Schizosaccharomyces pombe: one gene and its partner. Changing the gene in region 2 together with the main gene of any one other region gives a genetic interaction. Each region holds a gene or a part of one and is shown on either strand. Other genes may lie near its edges.

Region 1 (4,427 bases), on a different chromosome or scaffold from region 2:
TTAGTTACCCTCGTTGGGGCGATTTTTTGCCGCTTCGTTCCAAAAATCAGATCTGAGTTTATCTAGACGATTAGATGGTTAGCAATTTATTTAATAGTTTTACGCAAAGGGAAAACATACAGCACCAGCAAACATAAAGAGTGAGATACAGTTCGTAGTATAGCATCTCGATAATAAAAATCCACTTGTAGGGAACTTCATAATGTTCCAACGCAAAGAATATTGGAAGTAAACCAAGCAGTACCCACCAAGTTTGGATGAGCGCAATGCTGCATAACCACCAGTAACTAATTTTATAAATTTTTTTAATCTCTTCCAAGGGAAGAACTTGTGGTTTTACCTCTTGTAGGTTTGCTGCACCACTTGCGGCTTCATAACTGGGCAAAGTTTCCTCCATTGTGCAATATCTAATTTGTTAGAATGAAATTAAGATGAAATACATAGGCAACTATAAAAGCGACTAAAATCAAACTAAAAAAGAAGGTCTGTTTAAATAACAGTCGCAAATTTGTGAATTGAGCGTGCAGCATTCTCACCTACCTTTCTCAATCTGCAGAGGTAAGAGATCCAAAGAAGGCTAATTTATGTACTTAAGTTTTTTGTTTTAAAGAAATTGGAAAAGAACAAAGGAGTAAGCCTCTTATAAGCAACTGTTGAGGGCATTATGTATGCATATACAAATGCCCTTGACGACAAAACAAATACTATAGAATTCGCTCAACAATACGCAGAAAAAAAAACCGTACAGCTAAACGTCTAGCCACCCCTGGCTTAGCTATATTGATTTTGTAAAAATAGACTCAGAAGTAAAGATTACGCTATCTTTACGACACCATAACTGACAATGTTTTGCTAAAAGAAAACTAATTCTTCGCTCCAAAAACTCTTGGAATTTGTTTAATCAATTGATCAATTAACGAAAAAGTTTATGTAGCGATTTCGTGCCATACTCGAGAAATGGCTTATTGAAGGTTTGGAAAAGTAAATAATAAGAGCGATTTACCAGCTTACAACTATTTTCGGACATTTGAGGGTCTCTAACTTCAAAAGAAAAGGAATTTATTTCGGTATAAACTGTTCATGTTTAGACAGCTTCATTTTAAAAAATATGCTGGTTTTTTCATTAAAGATATTTTCGGCCTCATACTTTTGAGATGTAGCATTTTGTTTTAGCTAAAAAACATGTTACTCATTGAAAAAAATAAGCTTAACAAAACGAAAGTAAGTGGTTCGTTTCTCTAAGCTTAAATTAAGGACGCACATTACGCATATCTTAAAATGATATTTCAGGATCTTTGTGATAACGAAGCCTAACCACAACCATATAGGATTTGTATTATTTCTTGCTTTATTACATACCATTGCTCAGTTCTGAGTACAATTAACAAACAAGAAAATATTAAATTTATTGAAGTAATAACTTTTTAACGATTTTTTAAGTAAACGACTTCATTTCTCCTTCTTTTCGTGTTCTCCCAGAGTTCAGTCAATTGTTGCTGAAACAAGAGTTTTTAGCTTTATTCCTTGTCAGTATCAAACTTTTCAGCCATTTTTTTATATTGATATTCGATTTTGAAACGAATATCACTTTTTTTCAAAGAGTTTTTTGCCAAACGTGTTTCCAACGCGTTGTTTTTCTCTAGAGTAAACAAGGTACCTTACCCCAACAACACTCTGAGTTTTTTTAAGCTAACGTTTGAAAAGGTTTCGGTAAACTGTATCTAAGGTATTTTTACGAACATAATCGTAAGTAAAAACGGACATAAGTCACGGCTAGAACTTTTGGATGTCAATGGTTAACGATATATATATTGATCAGACATATAACTGCGGAAAATACAGCTTAAGGAAGGCGCTAAAACGAGATTTTTCTGTTAATTTGATTTTGTCGAAATTCATTCTTTCCGTTTCTTAAGTACAATATATCGACAGTCATTTTAAAGATTTGACTTTTGTGAATATGTTTTTAGGTTTGGATCTCTCAACTCAGCAGCTCAAGGGCGTGGTCATTGATGAGTCTTTGAACGTGCATCAAGAGGTTGCCGTCGATTTTGATCGGGATCTAAGTGATTACAACACTATCAAAGGGGTCTACAGGAATGGATATGAGGTTTTTGCTCCAGTATGTATGTGGCTAGACGCCATCGATTTACTGTTTGAGAGACTTAAGGCTTCTGTGGATGTTAGCAAAATACAAGCTATATCTGGTGCCGGTCAGCAACATGCAAGCGTTTTCCTGCTTAAGGGAAGTAAAAAAGCCCTCAATTCGTTGGATGCCAAATCTTCTTTAAAACAACAATTGGAAAGTCTCATTCATCCAACATCTCCAAATTGGCAAGATGCCAGTACTACCAAAGAATGCGAGGAGCTTGAATCTTGCATTGGTGGAGCCAAAGCACTAGCGGACCTTACTGGGTCTAAAGCTCACCTACGCTTTACTGGACCCCAAATCAAGCGTTTTCGTCGTTTGCACCCCGAGACATACGAAAATACCGAACGAATTGCACTTGTCTCTAATTTTCTAGCCTCGGTACTTCTGCAAACCGAGGCACCTTTAGACATCAGTGACGTTTGTGGAATGAATCTCTGGGACATTCAGAATGAGAAATTCGATATTCGCTTGTTGGAAGAAGTTGCTGGTAATTCTAAAGGACCCGACTTGGCTAACAAACTAGGTACGGTTGAGATTAACGGGGCAAAACATCTAGGACCAATTGGGAAGTATTTCGTTAAGAAGTATGGGTTTTCTCCTAACTGTCAAATCATTCCTTTAACTGGAGATAACCCTGCCACTATTTTATCCCTTCCTTTAAGACCGGGAAAAGATGTACTATTATCATTGGGTACTAGTACTACTGCTCTAATGGCTACTCAAAACTATGTGTGTTCTCCAGAGTATCACATGTTTGCTCATCCTGTTACGCAGAACGTAAGTTGAACTTGACTTTCTTTTGGTGAAGTAGTTGTTCAAAACTCATCATTTTCTCTGGTTTTCTAACTAACATGGACTTTAGCATTATATGGTAATGTTATGCTATAAAAACGGTAGCTTAGCGCGGGAACAGGTAAGAAACACAATCAATGAAAAATATAATGTTTCGGACAATACCAGTTGGGACCGCTTTAATGAATCGATTTTGAACCCCAACATTAAAGGTGCTGGTGAAAAGAAACAGCTCGGTCTTTTTTATCCACAAAGGGAGATTTTACCCGCAGTTGGACCGGGTACGTGGAGATTTGCAATCCAAGGCACCGAGTTGTATCAGGTGGATAAAGATGAAGAATCATGGGATTATCCAGATGAGGATGCTTCTGCCATAGTTGAAAGTCAAAATCTTGATATCCGCATGCGGATTACTCCTTTGCTAACTGGTATACCACAACCTGATCGTGTTTATGTTGTAGGAGGAGCTAGTCGTAACGAGGCTATTGTGTTTAAAATTAGCCAGGTTTTGGGATGTGATGTTTATCGGCTAAAACACGGCGGTAGTAATGCCTGTGCTGTTGGCGTAAGTGAACGGAAAATGTTGTTAATTAATAGTTACTGACCATCAATTTAGGGCGCTATCAAGGCTGCATATGCAATGAATGGAAAAGGATTTACCTTTGAAGAATATGTAAACAAATCTTGGGATGAGTCCAAGAAAATTGAACTAATCATGAATAAACCATCCGCCCAAACTTATGAAGAATATGGAAAGCTTTTACCTTTCCTCAAAAAGGCTGAAGACATTGCGATTCAACAGTCAGATATCCGGCATTGAATTGATTAAATGCTTTTCCATTTCGCACTTGATTATGTGATTAGCTATTGATATAACGAGATTATTAATGAAAGCGAAATCCACTTTTTTTTTTAAAAAATATGAATAAACCTTAGGATACAAAATGATAAACGTTTCCTACATGAACATTTTTTTGAGCTATCGTTTTGAGAGCTTTGAATCACGAGTCTAAATTAAGACAAATAAATATGTAACATAAAGTAGTCATACACCATATTATTAAACAAATTTTTGCATACGCTTTTACATATAAGTAACACAATTTAAGCAGGAAAAAGCGTTTAAACATAAACAAATATAAAAAGGCTTGAGTAACAAAGACAATTTTTAAAAACATACACAAGTTATTTATTTACAAAGGAGTGTAGGGTTGCTGTAAGGTTAGTAGATAGAATGCAATATTTTAAGGTACATTTTCTTTTCAAGTAATGAAGTACCATGGACGAAAAGGGAAATTGCAAAAAAATAATTAGAATAGAATAGAAATCGTCAGCTAGAGAAGTGCAAAGTAATAAAGCGGTAGTTGGAAATACATTAATACGAATATGGGATAGAAATATTACACGAAAGAAAAACATAAAAATTAAAAGAGTGCATAGGGAAAATTAGAGTCGTTATTGATCCAAAAATGATTCCCAACGC
Region 2 (9,002 bases):
GATGGATTCGGTGCAGGCGCAATTGCTGAAAATGAAGACGAGTCTTCCCAAGATGAAAGTGAAAGCGAAGAGGAAGATGATATTACTGAGCCTGTTCCTTCTTTTGCCAATATTTCTACTCAGGATTTCAATTCCGATTCTGCTGCTGGTTCCTCCGACAGCGAAGAAGATGAAGAGGAAATTGCTAAGAAAAATGCTTTCTTTGCTGAAGGTGATAAAGAAAAATCTATGATGACCACTACACATTCGTCTTTCCAATCTATGAATTTGTCACGCCCTATCTTAAAGGGCCTTTCTAATCTTGGTTTTGAAGTGCCAACTCAGATTCAAGACAAGACAATACCACTTGCACTTTTAGGTAAAGATATCGTTGGTGCTGCAGTTACTGGTAGTGGTAAGACAGCGGCTTTCATTGTTCCTATTTTGGAGCGTTTGCTCTACCGTCCCAAAAAGGTCCCTACTACAAGAGTATTGATCCTTTGTCCTACTCGTGAGCTTGCTATGCAATGTCATAGCGTTGCTACGAAAATTGCCTCTTTTACTGACATTATGGTTTGTCTGTGTATCGGTGGTTTGTCCCTCAAGTTACAAGAGCAGGAACTTCGTAAACGTCCTGACATTGTCATCGCCACCCCGGGTCGTTTTATTGATCATATGCGCAATTCACAAGGATTCACTGTGGAAAACATTGAGATTATGGTAATGGATGAAGCCGATCGTATGCTGGAAGATGGTTTTGCTGATGAACTGAATGAAATTATTCAAGCTTGTCCAAAGTCTAGACAAACGATGCTTTTTTCGGCCACTATGACTGATAAAGTAGATGATTTAATTCGTTTATCTTTAAATCGGCCAGTACGAGTTTTTGTCGATAATAAGAAAACTACCGCCAAACTTTTAACTCAGGAATTTGTCCGTGTTCGACCACAACGTGAGTTACTTCGCCCAGCTATGCTTATCTATCTCTGCAAGGAATTATTTCATAGAAGAACTATTATCTTCTTCAGGAGCAAAGCTTTTGCTCACAAGATGCGAGTCATATTTGGCCTTTTATCCTTAAACGCTACCGAAATCCACGGTTCATTGTCGCAAGAACAGCGTGTCCGTGCTTTGGAAGACTTTCGTGATGGAAAATGTAACTATTTGTTGGCTACAGATGTTGCATCTCGTGGTATTGATATCAAAGGCATTGAGGTCGTAATAAATTACGAAGCTCCAGCTACTCACGAAGTTTATCTTCATCGTGTTGGTCGTACTGCTCGTGCTGGCAGGAGTGGTAGAGCTATTACATTAGCCGGTGAGGGCGATCGCAAAGTTCTTAAAGGTGTATTCAAAAATTCTTCAGCGCAAAACACAAAATTGGTCAACCGTAATCTGGATTTTAACAAAGTTGAAAAGTTTGGTAAAGAAATTGAGGAATTGGAACCTGTTGTTCAGAAAGTGCTAGATGAAGAAAAACAAGAACGAGAAGTATGTTGTTTTTATAAGTATATAAATTTTTTTTCTAACAAATGTAGCTAAAAATTGCCGAACGCGATTTAAAGAAAGGCGAAAACATTATGAAATATGGTGATGAAATTCGTTCTCGTCCAGCACGTACCTGGTTTCAATCCGAAAAAGATAAACAAGCTTCTAAAGGTATGTGACATTGAAATAAAAAAATATGTTTGCTAACATTATAGCCTCCGAAGCGAAAGATAAAAAGTCTTTAGCTAAAAGAAAAAAGCAAATGGAAAAGGAAGAGGTGCCCCGAGCATACAAGAAGACAAAGAATGATAGACTTAGCAACAAAAAGTCTACAAAAAAATCGAAATCTAAGCGCAAATAGGTGAATACGTGAAAGGGAGAAATTTTCAAATGATAAGTGTTTGGTTAGGTTTTGAATTTTTTAGATACTAGATTATATTAGGGTTTCATATGTATAATGGAAATTGGGTTTTGTGTCTCATGGGTAACTTGGTTAGACCTCCTTTACAAAAAGCTCGTACTTTAATTTATATAATAAGAATAAAAGCGTCCGTATGTGTAAACAAAAATGTAATAATTATTCCTTAGCAATTAATTTAAAGGACAAAGTCTATCTAAACTATCATATACCCAACCGCAATGTTTTGTCATATTGTCTTGTCAACATGTCATAATATTAATTTAACGTTTTCTTCGACTTCGGGGCACAGCAATTTTACGGCCCGGGGGCGCATTTGTTTGTGAGTTAGAAGAGCCCAAATTGAATTGAATACCATTGGGCGCTGGTGATTGTGAGGCACTTGCATTAAAGGCAGACGGAGTAGCCGCACCGAACGAAAATCCGGTACTAGGTGGATTACTAGCTGGATTACTAGGTTCTCCTGACCCGAAGGCGAATGCTTGTGATGCATTATTGATGGACCCGGATGGGTTGGGAGTGTTTCCAGCGCCAAACATAGGAGCCGCAGTTGATCCAGCATTTGATGGAGTGAATGTAAAACCTGTACTAGGAGGGTTATTAGTGGCAGTATTAGTAATCCCTCCAAACCCTGCAGGAGCTGCTGGGTTCGTGCCTGACTGGTTGCCAAACGCAAACGCGGAAGACGGGGCCGGCGTCGATGTACCAAACATAGAAGCAGGCTGAGGCGAATTGTTAGCACCGAACGAAAACCCAGACTTAAAGCCAGACGCAGGTGCCGTATCTCCAGCATCCTTAGCCATGGGAGTGTTCTCTTCCTTATTCATACTAGAATTTGATGCTCCAAAAGAAAATGCAGACGTAGTGGGAGCAGGAGCAGAAGCAGAAGCAGCTGGAGCGGTTCCTTCAGAGGTAGTCTTTGAAGTTGCAGACCCAAAGCTAAATGCCGGTTTATTTGATGTACCAAAAGAAAACGGTGCCGTAGACGAATTTGTAGAGGGATTGTTGTTACTGGATGCTTTAACACCACTATTGTTTCCAAATGAAAAAGCAGGTGAAGGAGTGGTAAGATTCGAAGCAGAATCTTTGCCATCAGCAGTATTAGTCGAGGGTTTAGGTGCATTAAAAGCTGATGCAAAACTAAACGGCGCATTAGCAGTTACTCCATCAGTTTTAGAAGATGTATCCAATTGAGGCTTCGTAGTTTCATTTGACGTTGAGGCTTTTTTGTTTGCCTGTTCTGTAGTGGAACCGAAGGAGAAAGCAAAAGGCTTTGCATCCTCCGTTTGTTCCAAAGTTCTCTTAGTAGCATTGCCATTCGTCTTCGTTGTATCGTTAGGAATGTTATTCTCATTTGTTTTTTCAGATACAGCAGCAAAGGGAGATACAAAATTAAAGGTTGAAGAGGGCACAGCGTTATTAGAAGATACTGAATCCTTTATTTCAGAAGCTTTTGGACCTGTTGGAGGGACCTCTTTTTCAGTTTCCTTTTGCTTTACGGCTTCTTCATTAAAAGTTTTTTCAGGTAGCAAATTGGTTTTGGCATCCGTATTTGGCTTGGTAAAATTAAATGAAAACTGAGGAGCAGTTGTTGTTACATTTTCAGTATTAGGTTTTGCAAACGAAAATGGAGTAGAAGCTTTAGCTGACAAACTGTCATTCGCTTCATCTTTCCCTTTTTTAGCAAAAGAAAAGGAATTTGTAGGTGGGACTTCTTTGGACTCCTTGGTCAAATTGAATGAAAAGGGTGATGAGCCTGCGGTATTTCCAAAACCCGAGGACGGTTTTGATTCGGGAGCTGACGGTTTTGACTCAGAAGCAACAGTAGAACTAGCTAGACCATTTTCAGAAGTTTTTTTGTCATTGAAAATATTGCTTGTTGGCTTTCCAAAACTACTTCCAAAATTAAATTGTAGCGTAGGTTTTGTTGTGTCTTGTGTACTAGAAGCATTGTTTAAAGAGAAATTGAACGTAGGAGCTTTCGTTTCTTCCTTCTCTTCAAGGGTTTTAGGTGCGAATCCTCCAAAGCTGAAACCAGAAGTTGAAGCAGGAGCAGACGGAGCGTTGTCCTTCTTTTCTGTTTCTTCTCGTTTTGGACTTAATTGAGAAAAAAATGAAGGCTTGTTCTCAGTTATACTTGGCGTCTCTTGAGTCTTTGACGGTAATTGTGCAAAGAACGTTGGCTTGGGCTCATTCTCCTTCAAACGATTAGTTTGCACATCAGCAGTAGCAGTTGGCTTAAACTCAAATTTGGGTACATTTAATTTTTTGTCCGTGGTAGCTTCAGTCTTCGGTTCAAACTTAAATTCGGGTACTGAAAAGTGAGAAGATTTGATTTCCTTAGAAGGTGATGGCGGTTCAACTTCGGACTTTCTAGTTGTAGATTCTTTTGTCGGCGATGAGGAAAATTGGCTTTTGGGCGCTTCTGTATCCTTTGACAATGGCTGATGTTCAAAGGTTTTATTATCCTCAGCGTTCGCGAGAGTAAGTGCCGTATCATTCGGAGAAGTCTTTACAGGCTTAGGGGTAATAGAGGCTTGAAGCTCTTCAAAGGTAGGGGCGGACTTCGTCAATAAACCCTTGTCACTTGTATTATCCTTGGGAGATGCTATTATAGGTTCTAATATACGCTCAGATTTTGGATTTTGTTTGGGTAATGCGGTGTAATGAACGTCATCTTCGCAAGCAAAGATTTCATCCAAATCCTCATCAACTGCAGAAAAAGCCTTAATATGACCTTTCTCGAGAGTCTGACGCTTACGCGAAGTGGGTGTACTTAACCGGTGATAAATATCTTGCTTATCAATAAACATTGTATTACCGGGGTTGGAATCTGTCTGAACTTCTGCATTGACTAATACAGGCTTCCTTAAATCCATCTGTTCAAGAGTTTCATAAATGATAGGGATAAGCCGCTGGTGTCTACGACGTCGCCGAGAGGAGCGGTGAGGAACGTGATTTTTTGCTGAGACCTCTGTTTCGCCATTCTCCTTATCTCTAATGTCGGTAAGACTCTTATGGGAATCATTTCCAGAAAAGCTTTTGTTCTGCTTAGCTGAGGGCTCGTTTTCAGAGGCACGAGCAACAGATTTCTTTTTGGAAAGCATAGGACTGGGACTTCTAGAAGGCTTGCGCTTCTCACAAGTAGGATTAGCTTCGGTAATACGATCTTGTTTTACACTTGATATATTTAAGGTATTTTTCTGCTCATCGTGAAGTGACCGAAGGATATTGAGCAATGAAGCAGAGGATTTGGGAGTTGCAATTTGATGTTGAGAAGTGCTGCCCAACTTTTTGGATAAAGCAGAAGAAGGATGAAGCGAATTAAGTGATTTTAACGACAACTCGTCATGGCGTTTAAAAAGCGTTGGGGAATTAGTATAATCTTGCTTTTGCTTTGGCTTCCTAGGTTCAAATGTATTCGTATGAACTTTTTCCTCTATTCCATCAATTGTTCTAACATGGCTCCGATTACTAACGCGAATAATTCTTCTATTTAATGTTAATATGTTTCACGACAAAAATGTCAACTTACGGAGATTTTCCTAAATAATGAGGTGTTAACTCTGGAGTAAGCAGGCTTTTTGTACCTGCTCTTCCACTCTTTCTATCCTTGCTAGCCGTTCCTGAAGCTTTCTCGTCTAGACCACTGGTGAATGGGTGCAAAACAGATGAAAATGCCCGTTTCAAGACCGTAAAAAAGGGCCTTGAGCTCCCCTGAGGTGGGTCATAGGGTTTCTTAACAGTCTTTGATGAAGTGCGAGTATTTTTTGAAACAGGAGGCATCAATACAAACTCATCGACAACTACTAGAAGACGTTGGTTAATGAGAAGTAGCGAGTTTAGTTACGTGGCAATTATTTTTCATGCTAATGACTTATTGATTGTCTGGTAGCGCTATTTGTTATATGCCAATATCGTAGTCGTAGGAACTGTACGACTATTGTAACACGTTTCGTAAAAATGTTTAATACGAGAAGAAAGGGAGTTATTTGAAGGTGTTAAGCAAGATGGAATATGTTAATACAATTTGTTTTCGGTTTAAAAAAATGGGATATCAAATTCTATTTAATCTCGTTACCAGTAAAGTGGTGATTGCAACAGTAGTCCACGAGCCTTAGCTTCGTCAATATTCGCTTTATCAAGTTTTAGGCTGTCTAATATTCTAGCAACTTACTTGCAATACTTAAATTCTTCCGTTTAAATCAGCTTACATTGTATGAAGAAATGATTAGTTCTATTTTCATAGAAAAACACTTAGGCACGTACTGTCTAATCGTACGTAATTGGAATTTCGCTTTACTATCATCTATAGTAGTGTTGATTAAAACAAGTGCCTCCCATATAGCAAGGCAGCGTTCATTGCTAATCATATTATGCAAATATTCACTTAATTAGTATATTAATCAAAAAAAAGCTACCAATATATACCTATAGTAACTGAATAGTGGGATCACCTCATATAACTATTAGTATGTGTCTACTTATTACTGAGATGTCACATACTATGTAGCTATTTGAATATTTCATAACCATCAATTCAAAAATTGGTGGAAGACAAATGTTTTTTCCTATTTTTCTATTCCTAAATTGTATACAAAGTAGTTCGTTATAGAGATCATTGAAGGCATGGCAAAAATTGTTTACTAGACATTATGAATTTCAGTAACAGATCTTTGGTTCAATAGTGGATAAATAATATACTCAATAAATATAAAACCATGAAAATCTTAAATATAGCAAATTAACTAAGGCATTGAAAGAAATTTGTCGATCCTGGTTCTTCCAAACTACTATTAACGTATATTCAACTTAAACTTCAGCTTGCCGTTTACCAAGCACTGCATATTTGGGTTCTGCCAGCTTTCCCTTTCTATTGTCATGATTTACGCTGTTTTTATATTTAACAATAAAGGGAAACCTCGTCTCACAAAGTTTTACACTCCAATTGATGAATCCATTCAACAAAAGTTAATAGGAGATATATATGCAGCTGTATCCACTAGGCCCCCAACCGCTTGTAATTTTTTGGAAAGTAATTTAATTGCAGGTAAAAATAGAATAATTTATCGCCAGTACGCTACTCTCTACTTCGTTTTTGTAGTAGATGAAGGTGAAAGTGAACTAGGAATTCTCGATCTCATTCAAGTAAGTTGAAATTAGTTACTTTCCAATTTCTAACTATTAAAGGTATTTGTTGAAGCATTAGATCGATGCTTTAATAATGTTTGCGAGCTTGATTTGGTAAGTACATTTCACTACTCGTTTATCTTCCCATTATCCTACTGCTATATGTTTGAAACCATTGATTCCGTTTTTTTTTATTTAATTTGTTTTTTTCTTATTTGGTTTCGAATGTTTGGAAATTTGGCCTTACAAGAAACATTAATGTTTGTCCAATATTCGATTATCAAAAGAGCATAACATTTATTTTTATCATTTATTGAACTTAGGAACTACAAGAGTTTAATTCCTAATTCCTTTACTTCTCATCGCCTTCAAGAAAGAAATTATGCATAGAACTGGAAGTAGAGTCTCATTGTCGATGATTCGCAATCTCCAATGAAAAAAAAGAGGAGGTGTTAGTAATAATTATCCAAATACAAGTGTATACGCCAAAAAAAAAGGATATTGAAGGAAGAAATAATTAGAAGAGTTGAAAGCCATCTGTTTGAAAGCGAATTAGAAAGATCTAACACAATATAGGTTTTTAAATTCCAAGAAATACATGCTATTCTTGCTGAGGTAGTATCTGGTGGTCTTGTCTTAGAGACAAATCTGAATGAAATTGTTTTGGCAGCTCAGAATCAAATGCCAAAAACCAAACGGTCCAATGCAATGCCATTCAGCAATACATTAAGTTCTTTTGCTACTAGGTTCTAGTGACTTTTATGTATATGAAGAAGATGCATGAGTATTGTTCACTAGAAGAACTGGATAATTATAATCACCATAACGCATCTGTTTCGCTTGATTGTATAATGGTTCCATTTCATCGTCTATTTCAAATTGGAGCCCATTTTCGAAATGTGAAGTTGACATCCCTGGGATAGAAAAGTAGGACTTATTTGATTGTGGAGAGTTTTGACTATTGTTAATGAGACGCACTCGAGATTGATCATATCGAGAAATCCAGTATTTCGATTGACCTCCCTGACTGTACCGAAGACCATGACTTGTTCTATTAATCCTTCCATCGTTTCTTGAAGGTATTAAGTTCTCCCCAGGCTCAAAATTTTGATATACATAACGATCTCCATGTAGAGTTTGCAAACTATCGCACCAGACGTCTTTCAACCCGATTACGTCTTTAAAGGCTTTAAGGAGCGGTAGTCTTGCACAAGACAGCCATGTGGGTGTATCGTAATCCTCGATTCGAAAAGCGTACCAATGTGAGAGGGCAAAAAAGGGCATTTCTAAACACATGAGAACGTTCTGATTTAGTAAGGAGTAAATCCAGCCTGTTCCATTTAAAAGTCCCAGCCAGTTTGTAATGGAAAGAACGGTTTGCTGCCAGTAAGAGGCAAATATAATAGCTTTAACGGAAAGGAATTTTGGGAAAGGGCGAAAAGGAGCGAGCTCTTCATGCAAGCAAACCCAAAAAGTTGTTAGTGAATATAAAGAAAGCGTAATTGAAATGTTATAAACAAGACCTATCCAAAGGTCTGCAGAAGCATAAACAGGTTGATCTTCTCTGTCGTAGACTCCGGTGACTTTTGTTAACAGCACGGCAATCACCAGAAATGGTTTAAGCCAAGTGTATTGTAAAATCCCACGTTTTATAGAAAGGAAGGTGTAAGGATCACTTAGGTCAATATCATCTTGCAAATAATTCAAGGGCCATAACCTAGGACGAGGCAGATGTCCATGCAAACTAATAACTGCAGCCCGTTCTCCGCCAAGATAATCAATTAATAAACAGAAAAAGCAATACAAAGCGAATGCCTAATTTATTGTTAGAAATTATTCCATTAAAACCTCAATTACGCCTCATTAACTAACTAAACTAGTAAACCAACATAGTACAACTCATAACAGCCAAACCACTCTTTCAGTCAACCCCTTTTCAAGCATTTTAAAACAAATCTGCAATATATTGATTGCCAAGGAAGGTACT

What was found. Genes that interact genetically often act in the same process or in processes that back each other up.
Region 1: mutations in nup124 (region 2) and xks1 together harm fitness less than expected from each alone (positive genetic interaction), as found in Schizosaccharomyces pombe (one large-scale study listed by BioGRID).

The regions. Positions count from the first base shown.
Region 1 is NC_003421.2:704,310-708,736, reverse strand, and holds xks1 (xylulose kinase), read left to right. Parts: upstream 1-1,838; 5' UTR 1,839-1,960; coding exon 1,961-2,929; exon of another isoform or gene 2,930-3,014; coding exon 3,015-3,509; exon of another isoform or gene 3,510-3,560; coding exon 3,561-3,764; 3' UTR 3,765-3,927; downstream 3,928-4,427. Other genes in the region: protein meu15, read right to left, coding at 9-62, 121-397; retromer complex subunit Vps5, read right to left, coding at 4,400-4,427.
Region 2 is NC_003424.3:1,108,883-1,117,884, reverse strand, and holds nup124 (nucleoporin Nup124), read right to left. Parts: upstream 5,711-9,002; 5' UTR 5,672-5,710; coding exon 5,421-5,671; intron 5,378-5,420; coding exon 2,149-5,377; 3' UTR 2,017-2,148; downstream 1-2,016. Other genes in the region: ddx27 (putative ATP-dependent RNA helicase Ddx27/Drs1), read left to right, coding at 1-1,470, 1,518-1,638, 1,683-1,828; AP-3 adaptor complex subunit Aps3, read left to right, coding at 6,767-7,033, 7,076-7,129, 7,592-7,768; transporter Hfl1, read right to left, coding at 7,775-8,830. UniProt on the Schizosaccharomyces pombe protein: Nucleoporins may be involved in both binding and translocation of the proteins during nucleocytoplasmic transport. In S.pombe it is required for the nuclear localization of retrotransposon tf1.